Linked DNA regions of Nothobranchius furzeri. The protein of the gene in region 1 purifies or fractionates together with the protein of each later gene. This does not show direct contact. Links are inferred from orthologs where the notes say so. Each region holds a gene or a part of one and is shown on either strand. Other genes may lie near its edges. The genes, in order: edc4, xrn1, edc3 and dcp1a.

Region 1 (4,319 bases):
GCTGATCCGTGGAGCTCTGGAAGCTGTCGATCATCTGCTGGAGCTGCCCGATCACGGGGTCCCGCGCGTCCTGCTCTCTCTGCTTTCTGCTCTTCATGTGGGTCTCAAGCTGCTGGATGTCTGCAGAGACGAAAGTTAAAAAAGTATTTTCCTCCCTCAGCCCCCCCCCCCCCACACACACACACAAACACACACAAGATCAACACGGTCACAGCTGCAGGGCTGAGTCTCTCCATCCAACACACACACACATGCACGCACGCACACACATGCACACGCACACACACACGAACATGCGCACACACACGCACACACACACACCCAAGAAACACTGGTGGTTTAGAGGAAACGTGTATTAATGTCCTAAAACGTGTCGGACAGCCTGTACACACTTCCTGTATCGTTAAAGGCTCTTCAGTGAATAAATGGATAAAATATTTACTGCACTGGTCTTTAGTCAAGTCTGCACACACACTCGTGCACGTAGGTGGATCTGACGGTGAGCGAACAGGCGCAGCTGCAGCCACAGACTTCAGTACGAGTTGAAGCCATTTTCATGGTAAAAGTAGGATCAATAATATTAATAATAAATAAAAAATATCAGGATTTCATCTTCTGGAAGAAAATTTTCACAAAGTCTAATTCTTCCTCTTCTCTTCGGGCTTTAAGTGAAGCAGCCTAGCAGAAGCTCACAGGTGGAAGACGAGGCCATCTCACCTGGCTGCTCGGCGCAGGTGAGCGAGGACGTCTGTGTGAGCCGACGATGCTCCTCTCAGAGATAAATGCATCGTACGATTAAGTAACTCGTGTGACAGGCCCGGTCGCTACGCAGCGGTGCAGATGTTAACGCGGCACTTCCAGTCAATATTTAACGGCTAAACCCGGAATGTGATCGTGGATTATATGTAAACAGGACGAAGCCTCCGAGTTTAGTGCAGACGCCTCCACTCTGCACACGTTAGATTAGAGAACTGACCAGATTTACAGCTTCAGAGAAGAACCAAATAACTCTTCCTCACAGGATTTCCACTTGAAGAGAATCTAACCCTCAAACGGTCGCTGAGCAAATATCCGAGATGCTCACATGAAGAAAAGCCTCCAAGTAAAGTTTTCACTTTCAAAACGACCCCGTCTGTAAACTAACTTCACCGGATCGGCTCCCCTGGGTCCGAATCAACAACAGCCTGATAAAAAAATACCAGTTTTCAGTGTCTGAGAAGGACGATTTGGTATCTGGTCGTCTTACATTCGTGCGTTCCTTGCTTGAAGCTGTCGTTGATTTGCTGAAACATGGACTGGCAGCCTCGCTCAAACACCGGCAGCACGATGCTCTGGAAGGCATCTTTGTAGGCCGCCTGGATCGGACCCTGCATGGCTTCGGCTGCTGCTCGCCCAATCGCATCGGTCGTGTTCTGATGAAGCAGAGAGACGGTTCTGACGTACCCGGACGTGGGAAAATGCGGCAGCAAGAACACAAACCACAACGCTTTACCTTGGATTTGACCACCTTGCTGACATTGTCCTTCAGAGAGACCTCCACAGCCGTCAGCTTAGCCGCTATGGTGCTGTTCAGCTGACCCGTCACGGGCTCCAGACTCTTGGAAATCGCTGGAGGGGAAGAAGAATGATAAAAACAGATGAACAAGAAGAACTCCTCTATAATTACACAAGAGACAGTGGAGAGAAGAAGATCAAAATGTTTTTAAATCAGAGGGCAGGAGAGGCGAGGCAGGAAGACATTCCTCCAGAGGCTGCTGCGATCAAGACACCTCCGCTGCCTCGGCTATTTTTAATTTGTTCTGCCTTGAATTATCTGAAGCATTAAGACATGTTTTATTGATGCACAAGCTGCTGTACTCGTTGACTCTGGGTATTTAAAGGGACAAAGAGGCAGTTTATCCATACGGGTAGGGCTGCTCAATTAATCGAATTTTAATCACGATTACGATCTGAGTTTTGAACGATTATAAAAAACAAAACAAGCCGATTATTTGCTCCTCCCGCTTGCGCTGCCCTGAGTTGCAAATGAAGCGCTCCTCCACAGTGTTGCCAACTTAGCGACTTTGACGCTATTTCTAGCAGCTTTTCAGACCCCCTTCTTGACTTTTAAATCTTAAAAGTACCTAGCGAACACCTCAGAAACATCTCTGGTAACCCTTAGCTACTTTCTGGATAACTGTCGTCGACATTTCCTGCAGGTTAGCTAAACACTCCGCCTGCGCTCCGGACTGTTCTTCACAACATTAGGAAAGGGATGATGCAGTGATGTGTCGGTCGCTAAAGACAGCTCTCAGAGCCGGCTCCCTGTTGGAGTAACCAGAGTGAGTGACACACACACCGCACCTGCGGACTCCTGAGCAGCTAAAAACAGCTAAATGTGCGCGTGCGGCGAGCTAGACACACGTGCAGCTTGCCCGATTGCTGTGAGACCAGGTTGGGGGGTGGGGAGTGCAGCTGTGGTTGGGACAATTATTACATTAACTGATGGACTTGTAAATAAATAGTTTATAAATAAGGTAGAAATAAGTTTCTCACGCTGATAAATAATAACTAATCTCTCTGGGGACACGATGCTAGTGCACTCTCCTACAGCACCTTGACACGGCTACATAAATGTTATGCAACATTTTGTGAACATCAATTTATTTGCATTTATTTGTTATAAATGCCACTGTATAATTATTGCTGTCAGTATTTGCAAGATATTGGTATTTGGTTCTGTACTGGTTAGACTTAAATGAGTTAAACCAAGGTCTATAGCCCTTGGGTCATAGACTATGAGCTATAAGTATATTGGTCTTTTTATACTGGGAACCAGGAGTTCTTTTAGTGATCATCTTGTTTCTTATTTTTGTCCTGATTGTGCCCTGAGCAATTTTATGACTGAATAGAAACAAATAGAATCAACATAAATTGAAAAATCGTCTTAAATAATCGTGATCTCAATTTCAGTCACCATAATCGTGATTATTATTTTTGCCATAATCGAGCAGCCCTACATACGGGTGAAACTCAAGATGTTAGAATCTGGTGCAAAAGTCCGTTTATGTCAGTGATTCAGCCTGGAAGGTGAAACTAATCTCAGTCGGAGATTTCAGCCTTTATTTGTTTTATTGTCTTGACTTACAGCTGATGAGAACCTCACACTCAACATATCAGACAACTAGAATATTGTGAAAAGGTTCACTATTCTGGACTAGGGTTGTCACGGTAACCGGTGTAGCGGTAAACCCCGGTAAAAAAGTTGACAATAATATTAACCGTCTTGTTTTTAAAAAAACAATATTATCTCGGTGGGTTACCGTGGCTGCGGTGTAGGCGCGGTGACCCTTACCAGCCACCGTATCATCTGCTGAAGTTGCCGGCGGCACATGCGCACTTTGTTGTTTACAACCAAAACTTTCTTGAAGCTAAAGCTGAAATAATGGCCAAAGGAGGAGACGGCAGCGCTCAGGACATTTATTATCCCTCAAAGAAGACAAAGTCAGAAGTACGGGCATCTTTTGGATATTTGAAGAACGCCGAGGGACAGCTGATAGAAGACAGCTATCCTGTTTGCAGCACGTGCAGAAAAAGTGTCTGTGAAAGGCAGCAACGCTTCAAATCTCATGACACATCTGCGTGACCATCACCCACAACTCTACAGTCAACGGAAGGCAAGCTAATGTTAGCGTTTTAGCTAAAATGCGTGATCCGAGGATTTGGGTTGAGGGAGAATGCAACGAGTCGCTATATAAAGCAGCCGCAGCGCCGCTACCTGCATATAAACCGTGTCGCGGACACCCCCATGTAGAAATGACGCTATGCATTACGGGGCTCCCAGGGGCAGATAAGAGTTGGTCTCTCTCCGAGAATAATTATGAATTTAACAACGATTCCTGCCTGATGACATTTTCCCACATCTGCAAAGCTCACTGGAAGGACACAAACCGAGGACAATATTTTCCTGATATACGGGGTTTATGTAGTTGTCTGAAAATGTAACATGTTTAAAAAATACCGCGATAATACCGAAAACTGTGATAATTCTGGTCACAATAACCGTGAGGTTACATTTTCACACCGTGACAACCCTATTCTAGACTCAAAGTGTCACGCTGATGAAGGTTCCTGAGCCTTTAGATCAGGGGTCCTCGACTAATTTTGTTCAGGAGCTGGAGTTTTTTTCCCCAGCGGACACCATGAGAAGAATCGGATATAAAACAACAAACGTCGCTTTTTAAATTCACCCGGAGAAAAATTTTTTCAAACAGAATAATAACGGCTTAGTTAGTTTTAAATTTAACAAGTTCCTCTATCAGTATTCTTTGCTTCACAAG
Region 2 (4,319 bases), on another chromosome or scaffold:
TGTTTACTCTGTGTTTCACACACGAGGCATGTCTTGTAATGTGAGTGTTTTGTTCTGTACACGTGGGAAAAAGTTTATTCGTTTCATTTTAGTCTTGAAGCGGTTTGTTTTGACATGTTTGTGGGTGTTTCTGATCACTCCTGCTATTGTAAGCCACGTAGGCATAGCGGCGCTAAAGGCTGTGAGAACTCCAAGCACCAACTAGAAAACATTTTACGGTCACCCACATCATCATTCCTGTTTGCAGAAGACTCTTTCTTAAGCGTTGTCGTTCTTCACATTTGCAGCGAGTTTCTCGCAGAACAAGCCAGGTGTTACGTGGAAGGTATCCAGTGGATTCTTCACTACTACTATCATGGTGTTCAGTCCTGGAGCTGGTGAGAGCTTTTATGTTTTGAAGAAAACAAAAACTGTTAAAAATTCACTTGTAAAACGACACATTTCAGATGATCGTGACAGACCACGTTGTTTAGGTTATTAAAGCATTTATTGACCTGAATTCACTTAATTTAACATAACAAAAGATTTTCTTTTGTGGTTTTGATTTAAAATCATTTTTTAATTATCATGTGTGTCTCCAGGTACTACCCATACCATTACGCTCCGTTCCTGTCCGACATCAAAAACATATCAGGGTTGAAGCTGACCTTTGACCTCGGGAAGCCCTTTATGCCTTTCCAGCAGCTGTTGGCAGTCCTGCCTGCAGCTAGCAAGGTTCTGCTGCCTGAGTGCTACAGGGTGATTATTGCCACACTCTAAATACTTTTGAGTTGGGGATATAAATGTTTTACAGGCACAAGGTGTCAGTCTGAGGGCCGTGATGCGATTATAAAACATTAAAACTACCGTAGGTTTCACCAAAATACAGGAAGTTGTTATACATGACGGTTATTTTAAGAGTCGGACTGAGACACAAAATCCTGATGCTGCCGATGAGATGGATGATACTTGTTGTTTTGATGCCCCAGGATCTGATGACGAGCACAAACTCCCCCATCATTGAGTATTATCCTCTAGACTTTAAAACGGACCTCAACGGCAAGCAGCAGGAATGGGAAGCTGTGGTGCTCATTCCATTTATAGACGAGGTATACACACACACACACACACACAAAAGCGCCGCTGGTGGCAGACTAATGTTACCTCAGACGAACTCATTGACCCGTGTCTGCGTGCTTTAAACAGAGGTGCCTGCTAGCAGCTATGGAGCCCTTCAACCACAAGCTGACAAATGAAGAGAAAGCCAGGAATCGGCATTCAGAGTGTGACTTGTACTCGTATGATGGAGATTTAGACTTCACGTACAACTCCTCCCTGCCTCACCTGTTCCCCAGCATCATAAACTGCCATGTCAAGTAAACACAAACACATTAATACAGATCTGTGTTTGATACAGGATAATTATCTCTGAAAGACAGAGTGCACGTCACAAGCTCAGCCGGTTTTCATTGGTTGTTTCAGGAAAGTCAGCATCCCGATGGACACGTGGAAAGTTCCTCCTGGTCACATCTACAAGCGCGCTGACCGCTCGGCGCTCTACTTCTGTGGTTTCCCTACTTTGCACCATATCAAACACAAGGTGGGCTGGGTGACTGCTGATGTTTTCATTTTGCAAGTTTATAGACAAAATGTAGCACAAGTACCATTTTTTTATGTCTTCAATCAGTAATGCGTGTTAAATAAGATTTAATTATGATGTTTTAATGCAGACTTGCATTGAAAAGCTCCTCGTCTTTTCACTAGTTCTATAAGAAGAAGAGTGGCGTTGTAGTCTTCCAGCAGAGCAGCAGAGGGGAGAACATGATGCTGGAGCTTCTCCCCAGTCAGGACGGGGAAACGGTGAGTTTTGGTTTTCTTCATAAATCTAGGGCTGGGACCAAAACTTACATTTTGATCTTTATTAGCTGAATTCTGATGCGTGATATTTATCGCAATATCTGACTTCCTGTACAGATTTTACAAAATATCTGTTACATGTCTCAAACACACAATATATTTATCATCTATGTAAACCATGTAGAACCTAGGAGTCTGGCCCATATCACTCTTAATACTATAGTATCATGTAACACAATATAGTCATTTTTTATTTTTTCTTACCCAGAAAAAAATAATTTTTCAACATGGTGATTTAAATGGGAACTTGGCAGTTTTGGCTTGCTTTTAGCACCCCCTAGTGTCAGTTTGTAGAACCAAAACCTTTCTCCTCGTCGTCTCTTCAACAGCTGGAATGTCTCCCCTGCTTTCATTAGTGTCTGCATGAGTGATTCATTGCTAAATTTAACAAATCAGCTAACATGCAGGAAACGTGCTGGAACCAGACTGCGGCGTCAGGTATGTCGGATCAATTTTAGCACATTCTGGCTCAAGAAAATGATTTAAAAATATGAAAAAGTTGCAAAGCATCTCTTAAAAGATGTAAATAAATCCACAATGCAGCAGATTATGCTAACATGTTCACACAGCACAGAGGAAGGCAAACATAGTTGGAATCTCACATTATTTACTCATAATTCGGCACCATGTACCTGTTAGCTGATGATGCAGGGGATTTGGCCCGTCTCACCAAACAAACAGGAAAAACAAAACAGTCAGTCATGACGAATAAGCTCACTAAAACACAAACGTCCCCAAAAACTGTAACCAAAAAGCTGAGTTTGAAGTTCAGGGCAGAAAATTAAACCCGGATATTTTTATTTTCTGGTAGTTTTGTCTGCACCAGATCGTCTTGACGTGTAAGAATGATCGTTCAGGGTTTCCCCCCCATCGCTTTGTAAGCTGCTTGGCCAGGCTAAGCGTCATGCCCCGCCCCCCTCCTCGACACAGCTGTGTCTGCTGACAGGAATGGCGCAACAAAACTAGAGCCCTCCATCAGCTGGTACTGGTGAGAAACAGCAGCGGAACGTGTGCAAACCCCCCCCCCTGCCCGGATCTGCCAGGCTTAACTCATTTTCTGGGGGAAACCCTGATCGCTTATTGTCAGACGGAGGAGCAGCAAGCTAGCAGGAGCGATGCCTGCTGACTAGAAACTCACTGGTTGTATATTTATATTAGGGCTGCACGATATTAGGAAAACCTGCGATATTCGATAACAGTGCTTAATATTGCGATATCGATATTACTCACGATAAATGAACAAATACTAAAGTATGCAGTGTTGATGTCGTCTGGCGTGTGACGTCTGCTCTGGGTTCAAAGCAAACAAAAACTAATGCATGAATTCCATTACAACATAACATTTTTATTGCAAAAATATGCAGCTGCACCTGCTACTGTATTAGCAGCAAAACAACAAACTGCATGCATGCAGCTTCTCAGTGACTTTAAAACATCACCACCACCATAAAACTTTTTCTGATGCTCCAAATACAGAAAAACATCCCTTACCAGGGTTTTTGGAATAAATAAAAACATCATAAAATAAGTTTAAATGTTAAATAATAGTTAACATCACTTACATGCAACAGCAAGTTCTCTCATTGCTACTGAACATTTTCTCCACTTATGTGGTTATGATATAAGGCTGTTGCTGTAATTGGGAAGTGATCTGTGCTGGGCCAAACTAGGAGAATATTAAGATTTTTTGAGGGAAAGAGAAAAACAAGAGGAACTGGCAAAAAAAACTACATGGAAAATATGTGAAAACGTTTGTTTTTATCCCCAAATTGAACAAGTTTACCTAGATCTTAAAAAGCAGCTCAGATGATGAAACTGCAACTATGATTCTGATAACAAGCTAACAAATTGAACTAGCTCCTCTTAAGATTACCAGCTAGCAGAGCTTCTGACTGACAGTTTATGTGCAGCAGCAAATCAACTATCCTGATTAACAAGGTTATAAATGAAAAATCACTTTGATGTGTGGGGGAACTTTTCCAGGCCCTCTTTAGCAGGGTGGGACTGGGAGGAGAGTGCTGTAGCCTTTTAGCTGGAAGCTAACCGGACCGGAGCATGGGGCTAACGTCACCACCCGGTGGAACACTAGCGACATGGAGGTGGGTGGGTTGGTTCACCGGCACGTGTCGGAGTCAGCCCGGTTATTATCAGCTGCTTAACGACACCGAGCGGACTCACGTTCACGTTTGAAAGCAGCGCTGATTCCAGAAACCTCAGCACAAAGTGCGTTCGTTAATCTGAGCCAGCATGACGAACAAGGGAAGCGAGCGGCAGCGGAAAGCGGGGGCGGAGCGGAGATAGTGGGATTTTGGGGTAAGGGTCTACGTAGGGGGCGGGCGTATTATGTGAACGGACCCATCTGATTGGCCGCATATCAGAGGGGCTACATTTGATTGATCAAATAATACTTCCGCGTAAAAAAC
Region 3 (5,118 bases), about 24 Mb from region 1:
CCTCTACTGCATGTCCCTGTCCACTTACAGGAGGATCCAAGCTGAGCACTGGTGCTTTGTTCTGGATGGCCCAGTCTGCAGCTGCCCGGTACCAAGGCTGGTCCATCAGGAATGTGTTCTCGTGGCAGGCCAGACAGTTTATGATCAGATCAACTGGTGTGTCTGGGAGATCTGCAAGGTCAGATAAAAGAATAACTATAGAATTTTTGAACTCTTAATTACTAAAATAAACAAATTATCAATATTTATGTCCCAACAAACCCACCTTTGATACTGGACACCTGTTTGCCTCCAGTTTTGTTGAAAAGTGTGAGCTCGTTTGTCACAGAATCAAGCATCTTGACAAAGTTTGGCAGGAACAAGATAACCTCTACTTCATGATTGGCCAGGTGACGACCACAGCTGATACCCTGAGCGCCTTGAACATGAGGTCCACACATCAGCGCCACAGTGGGATGCTGATGTAAATTTTTTGGTGTGAATCTAGAGTTGAAATGAAACACAGATTAGGTTAAGAAAATTTGGAGAAATTAACAGGATCAATTGTCTAACGAAAATTCTTTAAATAACCTGCATTAACATCGAAAAGAGGAAACATTGGAAACTACACCTCAGAACATACCTGAGGAAACAAAAACAAAAGGGTACACAAGCGACTAGTGCTGCAGCTACATGCATCACGCAGGTTGTTCCCAATCTTTTACTCAAAAGTTTGATGCTTTTTTATGTTTGATCTTCTTTATGTCTGATTCTTCAGGCACTCGAGGAGTACAGACGCTTCCCTCTTTTGCTCCCTTATCTTTTTTTCCCCAAGGCTCTTTGTCCTGTCTGCCCACAGAGCGCTTCTCTGCATTTCTTCTGAAAAACTGTTAACTAACCATGGATTTGATAAATTGGTCATTCAATGCGATCGATAAGATTTTTTCAACATTGAGAACGGAGTAGGGGGGCTCCCACATGTCCACAGGGGACACACCCAGTGGGATATATGTTGGATTCCCGGAAGGAGTGGAAGATCATATGCCTCTCCCAGCTGTCGATTGAGGATATCGAAGACGTGTGGATATTCGGCCTGATGATCACTGGATTTCTCCTGATTGGAGTGGGAGGATATCTGGTTTTCTGGAAATTTGGGAAGACGGGAGCGGTTGGAGGGTGACCTGCACCCACGGAAAGCACCGTACGTGTGGAGACTTCTCAGACTGGGACGTTACTCGAGGTGAATCATAAGCTGGACAATGTTCTAGCTGCGATACCGGTATTAGTGTGCAAAATGGACGTCATCTCGGAGAGTTACCAGACGGTATGGACAAGCTTAAAAACCCAAAATTGGCTTCACTGAAGGACTGGAATGATCAGTTTAAAAGACTGAAGGCAAAGAGGAAAATTATATCAGCCTGACCCAAACAAATTCTTGTTATCCGAATCTGACGCCCTGGTAGCCTTGAACTGCAAGCAACTAAAAACCCCCATGAAGGAATGCAGACAGATGCTGTGAAAACCCGACCTACCAACCTGTATGTCTGATCTCTGAATTGTGCATACTGAAACTCTAATTTACCTCTGGGATTAATAAAGTATTGATTGATTGATTGATCCAAAACCGTTTGGTCTGTTTCATCCATCATTTATACCAGAGTCGGCCTTAGTCATGCATAAAAAAATCTTTGCTTTTCTCCATTATTAAAAAGTGAAGCCACTTTTCGGGCTGCCTCAGCATGTCAGTCCCAATTAAACATGTCGACACAGAGGAAACCACAGTCATGACAACCAATGAAGTATCTGTAATTAGCTCATTTAAGTTACTCGAATAATTTAAGTGCTGAAATTGACTCAAAACTTTCCTTATTTCTAAGGTGATTTAGAAGTTAGTCTTCATCTTTACACATTTACCTGTTGGGCCCTCCTAACAGTGTAAGTGCCATCTGACTGGCACACACTCCAGTCATCTCAAGTCTTCGCTCCAGTGAGAGGCCGTGACGCTCAGCAGCAGACAACAGCCGCTTGTGGAGTTCATAGGAAATACTTGGTACAACAAGTCCAGAATCTGTAGAAAGTAATAGAGAAAGGTGTCAACCAGTTTAAACCCAAACACTATCATATAATACCATTTACAATGTTAAGCACATACCAGTACAGTACTCTTTGGCCCCAGGCTGAGGTACAATAATCTGTCTGTAAACGACTGGTTTGCCCTCCAATATGTTCTCATCATGGCGGTACCGTGAGGGTGTCTGGTCTTGAGGAGTGCCCCGTGACCGTGCCCCGTTACGCCGCTCTGATGTGTCAATCTCTGAGAAAACTGCTGCTTTGTCAAAAAGGGCAAGATTCCCTTCGAAGTCAAAATCCGTGTCCAGGTCATCCTCCATGCCGTCCCCAAAACACTCATCGTCTCTGTGCTTCATCTGACCGTTCTTCACTCCATTCTTTTTAGGTGTTGCTTGGTTTGGTCCTCGACTACTAGATGACCCTGGTGAGATTAGAAAAACTTCAACCATTAGTATCATGCCACAGAAATTGATTTTTTGTTTAGTTATTTGATCGCCGAACAAATGGCCCTTACATGAGTTATGTCTTCGACGAAACCCTTTGGGTTGGCCCAGAGCATCTAGATGACGCTCTCCGTAACTTTTAGAGCATTGCTGGGGAGAGTTTAATTTCTCAACAGCTCTGGGGTCACCCTTTGGGACTGCCACCGGAACACTGTGCACGTTTGTAGCTGTAGTAGAGGTTCTCCTTGCATTACCACTTCTGATGTCTAAAATCTTTAGCTCCCTTATATCAATGGCACTGGAAAAACAATCAAACTATTGTATCAATAGTTACTAGAAACTGCAAATCACACAAAGTTACTAACAGTGGAAAAGACCCGTGTTTACCTGAATGTGACCTCGGGAACTGGACATTTGACTCCGTTGTGAAAAGGCTGCCTTAGAGAGATGGTTTGGCTTGACTGGTCCACTGATGATACTTCTCCTTGATACACCCCAAGCGTTGGGCCACAATTAATGGACACTAAACTACCTAACCAGTCCGCAGCCATTATCTGCAAAAAGTTAAAAGTTGTCACACTTGTTACAGCAGCACGTTAACTTGTGACCTAAGAGAACCACAAATATTAATTGTTCATTTTTAGGCCTACGAAATGTGTCGACTGCTTATTATTCCGGCCTGTTATTAAGCTACGCAGAGCCAATTTACGTGCTGAAACGTAAAATACCTTCAACTATCACCGTACCTTTAGGGAATTAAGATAAAGTAGACCCCTCTTGATAATAAAAATGAAACAGCGGGTAGTAAAAGCTAAGAAAATTGCTCTCGGAGAAGTTAGCGTTTTAGCTTTAGAACAGCTACTGCTATTCGCCTTCCTGTTTCCGGTAGACTGAGCTTTTCAAAATAAGACGGAACTTTTATATCTGGCTGGTAAAAACGTTTAGTCAAAAGTCTTTAACTGAAAGTGAGTGAGTGAGTGAGTGAGTGAGTTTTTGTTTGTTGTGGATTCTTTGTTATTTTTTTACATGTTTTACTGAAGTACAAGTATTTTATAAGGTTTACAACCATTCCATTCCACACGTTTAATGGAAATAGTTATCAGTTAGCAAATAATCAATACTTGCAGCATTTCCTCTTTTTTTTCTTTTCTTTTTTTTTTTTTTACTTTTTATTTATTTGTCTTTCTTATTTAATCAACATATACAACAAAAATCTGTGTTGGTAGAAAAACAAACTAAAGAAAAGAAGGAGAACCATATAGGGCAAAATTGAAAAAATGACAATAAAATGTATGGGTGAATATAAAACAGTTGCTTGGGGCTTTGCCAATTCTATCCTATAACCAGTTATATTTTTACCTTTAGCATCCTATGTCCCTTGAAGATAGGAGGTCCATTTTTCCCCATTAAAAAAAAGAGTTCTCCCCTCAGTCTCAACTAAAAAGTGATCCGTTCCATCGTATATTGTTCACTGTCTCCTCTCACTGTTCCAGGGTTGGTGGTTCTGGTTATTGTTTTTTTACCAGCAATTAACAAAATTTTACAGAGATAGTCCTTTCTCTTGACCACATTCTCAGTTAAGTTACAAAACATTAAAATCATCTCATTTTGGGGTATTTTATATCCAAATAATTTTGTCATTTCAATAGATTTTTGATCCTAAAATGGTTTTATTCTGTTGCATGTCCAAAACATGTGGGTGTGGTTGGCACTTATGTGTCCACACTCCCTTCAGCAGGGTTCCAGTGAGTTTAATATTTTATGATTTAGTTGTGGTGTTAGAAGGTTTGTTTGTTTGTTTGTTTGTGGATTCATTGTTATTGTTTGACATGTTTTACTGAAGTACAAGTATTTTATAAGGTTTACAACCATTCCATAAACACATTTAATGGAAACAGTTATTAGTTAGCAAATAATCAGTACTTGCAGCATTTCCTCTTTTTTTGAAGCTGTCTGCAGTTCACTGATGCTGTCAGTCAGCTTCTGTGCCAAATCCTGAGTGACAGCAGCTTCTTGCATAAACAATGCTTGAGATTTTTCAGAATTTGTAGGTTCTTCATCTAGAGCAGGGATTTCCAAAGTGTGGTGCACGCACCCCTGGGGGTGCGCGAGCTGCCGCTAGGGGGTGCGCGAGGTGAAAAGTGTAATGGCTGCGGAGCTCAGAGAAGTCTGTCATATGTCACCATTATTGTAGAAACTCATTTGTGGGTGGGCCTAAGAAAAAGTAAGTGGGCCCAATAAATGTAATTGAAAACAAGTATATTTTTGCGCGCGCGCGTCCTCCACATATGCCCTAGCTTCATAATAACAATGCGCCGAGCTTCAGCACTCTGGCCTGCGCACGCCGATATGTTCCGTCGCGCGCGCGTGTCCTCCGCATGTGCCCTAGCTTCATAATAACAATGCGCCGAGCTTCAGCACTCTGGCCTGCGCACGCCGATATGTTCCGTATTTGATCATTTTTAACGGTGTTGGAGAAATCTGAAGGTGGCAAGTCATTCTGGCAGATTGTAATTAACACCCTGTCTCATGCAGGTGTTCTGACATTGTAAACCTCACACACAGAACATTGTGGATGTAACAAAATAACAAGAAATGATTCCCATTTAGGCTATTGACAGCGCGC
Region 4 (5,057 bases), on another chromosome or scaffold:
GCGCAGATTTTACCTTCAGTCTGTTCATCTGCTTCTTGCATCCTCGAATCCACATTGAAGAGATGCGTGTTAAATCCAACTCATCGTTGGAAGAAAACACCTGTAAGTGACGACGGAGCGGAGCCGCTAACCTGATTTACAAAGACTTTCCCGAGCGCAGATCCTGAGAGGAGCGCCGAGCATTTTCCCCACATCCGGGTGCCTGGTGTGGATTCACGGCGCATCCGAGAGGACGAGCTGTGAGCGGCGGACCAGTCTGCTGTCAATAAGTCTCACCGTGGACTGATGACAAGTTCCAGCAGTAGAAAATAAAACAAGATTCTCTATAAAGGGTTTAATTTTCCTGATTATGATCTGGAATCGTTGTAACCAATCAAAAATGTCAAAGAATTTATTTATTTATTTATTTATTTATTTATTTAAAAATTATTATTATTTGCCGTTTTTTTTATCCTTGTGTCAAAGATCAGCCATCTTGGGTCGCAGTCTTCAACAAAAAATATCTGATTTACTTACTTCTTTTAAATAAAAACATGCATGTCTGCAGACACATGCATTTCTTGGTCATCACCTTGGTAATAAACTGTATGGTTTGCCCTGTCTGACAGATAAAATGTACTAAATCTTTGCGCACTGTCTGGACTTACCCCTCAGGTGTCTGCCCCTGATAATAAACCGCATTCTGTCACCTGTTCCTTCTTCGAGGCCTCATAGCGCCGATCTGTGTGTTCATTCTACGGCGATTCGTGAGGGAATGGGTGGTTTGGAGCTCTGATGGAATGATAGTGATTGGATTACCTGCATTCAGGGTAAAACAGATTCACGGTAGTGCGTAATCCTTAGATTATAATCCCCGTTCCCTAAGCATGAGAGATAGCTGCATGCACCAAAGCTAGGGTCAAATAATAAACATGATTTTTTAAATAGAATTTTCAGACACTTTCATTCACTTATTAGCAGTTTAGGATTTGAATAAAAGGAAAATCTAACTTTGACTTCATAACAAGGAAAATAATGCAAGTTCTTCTCAAATAGGTCTGAGTAATAAATCTGAAATTATAAACTGCATTCATAAAACCATGTCAGGCGTTGTGAAATATTGTTCTGTTTTTGCTTTCATTTTCTTTCAAGATTAACAAAATATATACCAAACAACTTGGGTAAATAAAATGATCAACAATAGAAATTTTAGGCGTAAAAACACAAGTTAAAATGAAAAAAACCATTGTGATGTGTACATATTTCCATGAAACTTGAGGTAGGAAACATATTAGGCTACATGAAATTAACATTATAATTGCAGGCTTTTGCATTGCAAATAGCTACTGAACTCAATTTTAATAATAAATAACTCCAAATTTTGATCATCCAATGAATGAGGTGTGAACAAGTTGTTAAAATAGGTATCTATTTCCGTGTTTTTCTGCTTCACAGTTTGTTGCACATTGCTAAATATTATTTTGGTGGAAATTAAATATGTGGGTTAAAAGTTTATTATCATTTTTATATTTTAAGAAACCTGCAATCACATGAAACTTTCTTAACCCTCTGGAGGCAGGCGCTGCAGATTTGCAACAGTTAAAACCTACCTAACTGGTTACTCCACATACGTATTTCATGAGCATTTTTTTAACTCAGATGTATCCCTGAAAGACTTAGTTGTTTGTTCCTTTATCAAAACTTATTTTGAGCCTGAGAGGGTTAAATGCCTAGAGTATACACATTACATGTATTCCCTTAATTTGAACTGGCTTGCATAAAAGTCCAAAAAAGTTTGAAACTTGTTTTTCTAATATCTCAAAGGATGACATTATGTGTAGGAAATAAGCTTCAACTTCAGTTGGCAAACTACCTTTTCAAACTATGTTCACATTGTTGTGGGTTTGGTTTCAGACATATTTTTTCTGCATTTTCTCTCAGAATTTGCAATTACATTGTTTTTATTATTATTATTATTATTATTATTATTATTATTATTATTATTATTATTATTATTATTCCCCGCGGAATTAAAAAAACTCCTCTGGGGAACCTTTTCAGTGGTGGGATTTCCGTAAATACCGGAAGTTATAGGTGTTTGCAAAAATTCGTCCGTGCGGCAGAAAATCATAAGCAAAGATGGCGATTAATGCTGGACATCTGATGAGTTTAGCTGCTTTGCAGAGACACGATCCATACATTAACAAACTGCTCGATGTTACCGGTCAGGTTGCTCTTTACAACTTCAATTCAAAAGCAAACGAATGGGTAAGTAAGAGAATTTACCCTGGAAAAGTTTCGGGAAATATTTGGTGGAGAGCCAACAAAGCTAGCTTCACACTTAGCTTCTGAGCTTTGATTCAAAACAGAAAATATTGTTGTTGTTTTTTTTTTGGGGGGGGGGGTTGTTTGTTTGTTTGTTTTGTTTTTTAAGTAAATGTCTTTATTTGTTTAGTTAATTAAGATAGCGTTGTCTAGTATGTTGTTTTAACGCGAACACAATTAATGCATCTTAGGTACTTTCTAATTGTAAAATTTAACGCCTTATTAGCTTTCAGTTAGCTTATCACCCTCGCTAAATTTATTTAGCTAGTTTGGATTTGCGGTTTCTAGGTTTGAGTCGTTATCTCTATTTGTTCCAGGAGAAAACCGAAGTTGAGGGAACCCTGTTTGTTTATGCAAGGTAAGAATACCTGAGAGCCACGATGGTTGTTCCGCCGTCTGCGCACGTGAGGCCTTGAAATTTGTAAACAAAGATAAAGTGGACTCTGTGATTCAGTAAATCGAACGTAAATTACAGTGTTTAGAGATTGAAACTGAAATATTATGTTATAACGTTGTAATAAACTTTATTTTTAATCAGTTAAAGCATGAAGAACTAAAACGACCACCTACAAACTTTAGTTATAAGGAAATATAATAGACTTTATTAATTTTGTGGGTAAATTCACTCGTTACAGAAGCACATACACTTAGAGAATAGAAGAAGAAAAATAACAAAAGTACCAGTAAATACACAAAGGCAAATCTTTCTGTTAAAAAAATAAACAGGACACGAATTTGTTGTAGGTTACTTTGAATTGGACTGGGAGCTACTTAAATCAATAGTAAAGTTAACTGCTATCCTTTATATTAATTACTAGCACAGTAAACAGCTCCTGCTTTTTAGCAGGTAGAGACCTCCCACACTTGTGCCGACCCAAACCATAAAACTGTTAAATGTAGTTTCTGGTCAGCAGAGGGCTACTGAGTGCTGTCCCATGTGAAGATGTTCAACTTTATGGCTGAAGAACCACTGAAACCAGTTTGAAGGCAATAGCTTAAAGTGTCGAAAACTCTTTAGTATTGCTTTAAATGGTCAATTAAAAACAATCAAATGTGGAGTAAATATTGTACCCAAAGCAATGTGAAGTGCAATTAAGGAGGTAATGTTTTTCCTGGGTCCTTATGAAGGTCTGCCTCCCCTCACCATGGCTTCACCATTATGAATCGACTGAGTGCACAGAACCTTGTTGAGCCCATAAATAAAGACCTGGAGTTCCAGCTGCAGGATCCTTTCTTGCTCTACAGAAATGGAAACTGTGAGTGTTTTGAAGGAAATGAAACACTAAAGAAGTATTTTTGAAATATGTTATTTTTTCTGTTGTATTTTGGTGTGTTTGTGGTTTTGTTTCAAGGTGACTTAACATTAAGGACTTGTTTCCAGCACAGAAAAAGTGTTTAATAAATCTGTAAACATGTTTAATGACTTCTGAACCAAAATGAAAATACATTTCCTCCTAGTATAATAGCTTATTATTATTGTTGCTTTGTTAAATTCTGTTAGTCACAAAATGCTCATTATTTAATAGAAATTTCTGCAATTTTGGCATTTTCATAATTTTCCTATTTGAAGCATTAGTGATATCTTCACTTTTACATACAAATGTGTGTATTAATTATATTAACTAGCACAAACACTATTATGATCCTTAATTATATTAACTAGCATAAACACTATTATGATCCTTAATTATATTAACTAGCATAAACACTATTATGATCCTTAATTATATTAACTAGCATAAACACTATTATGATCCTACCTGTGAAAACAATAGACAGATATCTCCCCAGCGTTCGATGGAACACCTCTCTTCCATATTGCTTGAAGTCATTGTGACGTCTTGCAGCATCAAGCAGGAACACTTTAGCACTCATGGCCCAAAATGGCCAAACAGCAACTTCAGCTTTGCTAGTGAACAGTTATCTTTCTGCATTTGGGCAACCGTCTCAGAGTTAAGTCTCTGATTGGTGAATCCGACCACTAAGTTAATCCAGCGATGTCCTCCAGCCTTGTGACAGAGCAGTGTAACAAAAAGGCCGCAAAGTTTCTCAAATCTTCAAAAAGTAGCTGACTGCGCTGCCTCCAAGGTAATCTATTAGAAGTCTGAAGAGAAGCTTCATCAGGGCAACGAACAAGGAGTTAGAATGCTTTCCCATTTGTTTGCTTATAAGGAAAAACAGCATAGCCAGGGTCAAAGTTAGAGTCGACGGCTCCCCTTTTGGAGTTGGTTTGCACATCAGCCTGGCTGGGATCGAGGACATGATGAGGTTGGTATCCCAGTAAAACCAGCTTCTCGGATAACTTTACTTTAGCATGTGTGCTAATATTGTTGTTTGGTGGAGTTGCAGGAAGATAATCTTCAGGTTTCTCCCTGGCAGCAGACAGTCCCTCGCACACACACAGTCCACTAGATCTCAGTGTGCTGACTCGTTCTGTAGCCTGTTGCTGTAAAGGTGTGGCTGTATGAGTTTAGATTTCCCAGCTGTGATCCTGAAAGCGAGAGTAGTAGAAGAAACGATGAAGACTGAGCTGGCATAAAAGCAGGATCAAATAAAGAGCACAGGTTAGACACAAGTACGGTTAAATCTTCAGAGAGATGGTGATGATTAACAAATATATGAGTGTTTCTTCAGTCTCCTTTGAGTGCTTGTGAGCTTGCAGCTCGGGGCTATAGACTGTTGGAGAGAGACATACTTGTTTACATGGCTTCATATTCCCTTTGGTGGCTGGAGATGCTGCAGGGAGGCAAACT

The links.
Region 2: the proteins of edc4 (region 1) and xrn1 purify together in Homo sapiens (co-immunoprecipitation; 4 studies listed by BioGRID and IntAct, with this or other methods). This does not show direct contact. The link is inferred for Nothobranchius furzeri from reciprocal best matches to the Homo sapiens genes EDC4 and XRN1.
Region 3: the proteins of edc4 (region 1) and edc3 purify together in Homo sapiens (affinity purification with mass spectrometry; 6 studies listed by BioGRID and IntAct, with this or other methods). This does not show direct contact. The link is inferred for Nothobranchius furzeri from reciprocal best matches to the Homo sapiens genes EDC4 and EDC3.
Region 4: the proteins of edc4 (region 1) and dcp1a purify together in Homo sapiens (co-immunoprecipitation; 9 studies listed by BioGRID and IntAct, with this or other methods). This does not show direct contact. The link is inferred for Nothobranchius furzeri from reciprocal best matches to the Homo sapiens genes EDC4 and DCP1A.

What each region holds. Positions count from the first base shown.
Region 1 is NC_091744.1:83,092,281-83,096,599, reverse strand, and holds part of edc4 (enhancer of mRNA-decapping protein 4), read right to left. Parts: intron 1,609-4,319; coding exon 1,493-1,608; intron 1,413-1,492; coding exon 1,247-1,412; intron 121-1,246; coding exon 1-120. UniProt on the Homo sapiens protein: In the process of mRNA degradation, seems to play a role in mRNA decapping. Component of a complex containing DCP2 and DCP1A which functions in decapping of ARE-containing mRNAs. Promotes complex formation between DCP1A and DCP2.
Region 2 is NC_091751.1:60,943,590-60,947,908, forward strand, and holds part of xrn1 (5'-3' exoribonuclease 1), read left to right. Parts: intron 1-287; coding exon 288-377; intron 378-581; coding exon 582-738; intron 739-968; coding exon 969-1,088; intron 1,089-1,185; coding exon 1,186-1,355; intron 1,356-1,461; coding exon 1,462-1,579; intron 1,580-1,743; coding exon 1,744-1,839; intron 1,840-4,319. UniProt on the Homo sapiens protein: Major 5'-3' exoribonuclease involved in mRNA decay. Required for the 5'-3'-processing of the G4 tetraplex-containing DNA and RNA substrates. The kinetic of hydrolysis is faster for G4 RNA tetraplex than for G4 DNA tetraplex and monomeric RNA tetraplex.
Region 3 is NC_091744.1:58,993,825-58,998,942, forward strand, and holds the start of edc3 (enhancer of mRNA-decapping protein 3), read right to left. Parts: upstream 3,380-5,118; 5' UTR 3,239-3,379; intron 3,047-3,238; 5' UTR 3,044-3,046; coding exon 2,880-3,043; intron 2,808-2,879; coding exon of another isoform or gene 2,791-2,807; coding exon 2,564-2,790; intron 2,471-2,563; coding exon 2,132-2,470; intron 2,048-2,131; coding exon 1,894-2,047; intron 484-1,893; coding exon 266-483; intron 172-265; coding exon 1-171. UniProt on the Homo sapiens protein: Binds single-stranded RNA. Involved in the process of mRNA degradation and in the positive regulation of mRNA decapping. May play a role in spermiogenesis and oogenesis.
Region 4 is NC_091755.1:32,995,780-33,000,836, reverse strand, and holds the start of dcp1a (mRNA-decapping enzyme 1A), read left to right. Parts: upstream 1-2,079; 5' UTR 2,080-2,118; coding exon 2,119-2,247; intron 2,248-2,621; coding exon 2,622-2,662; intron 2,663-3,432; coding exon 3,433-3,560; intron 3,561-5,057. Other genes in the region: cacna1db (voltage-dependent L-type calcium channel subunit alpha-1D), read right to left, coding at 14-41. UniProt on the Homo sapiens protein: Necessary for the degradation of mRNAs, both in normal mRNA turnover and in nonsense-mediated mRNA decay. Removes the 7-methyl guanine cap structure from mRNA molecules, yielding a 5'-phosphorylated mRNA fragment and 7m-GDP.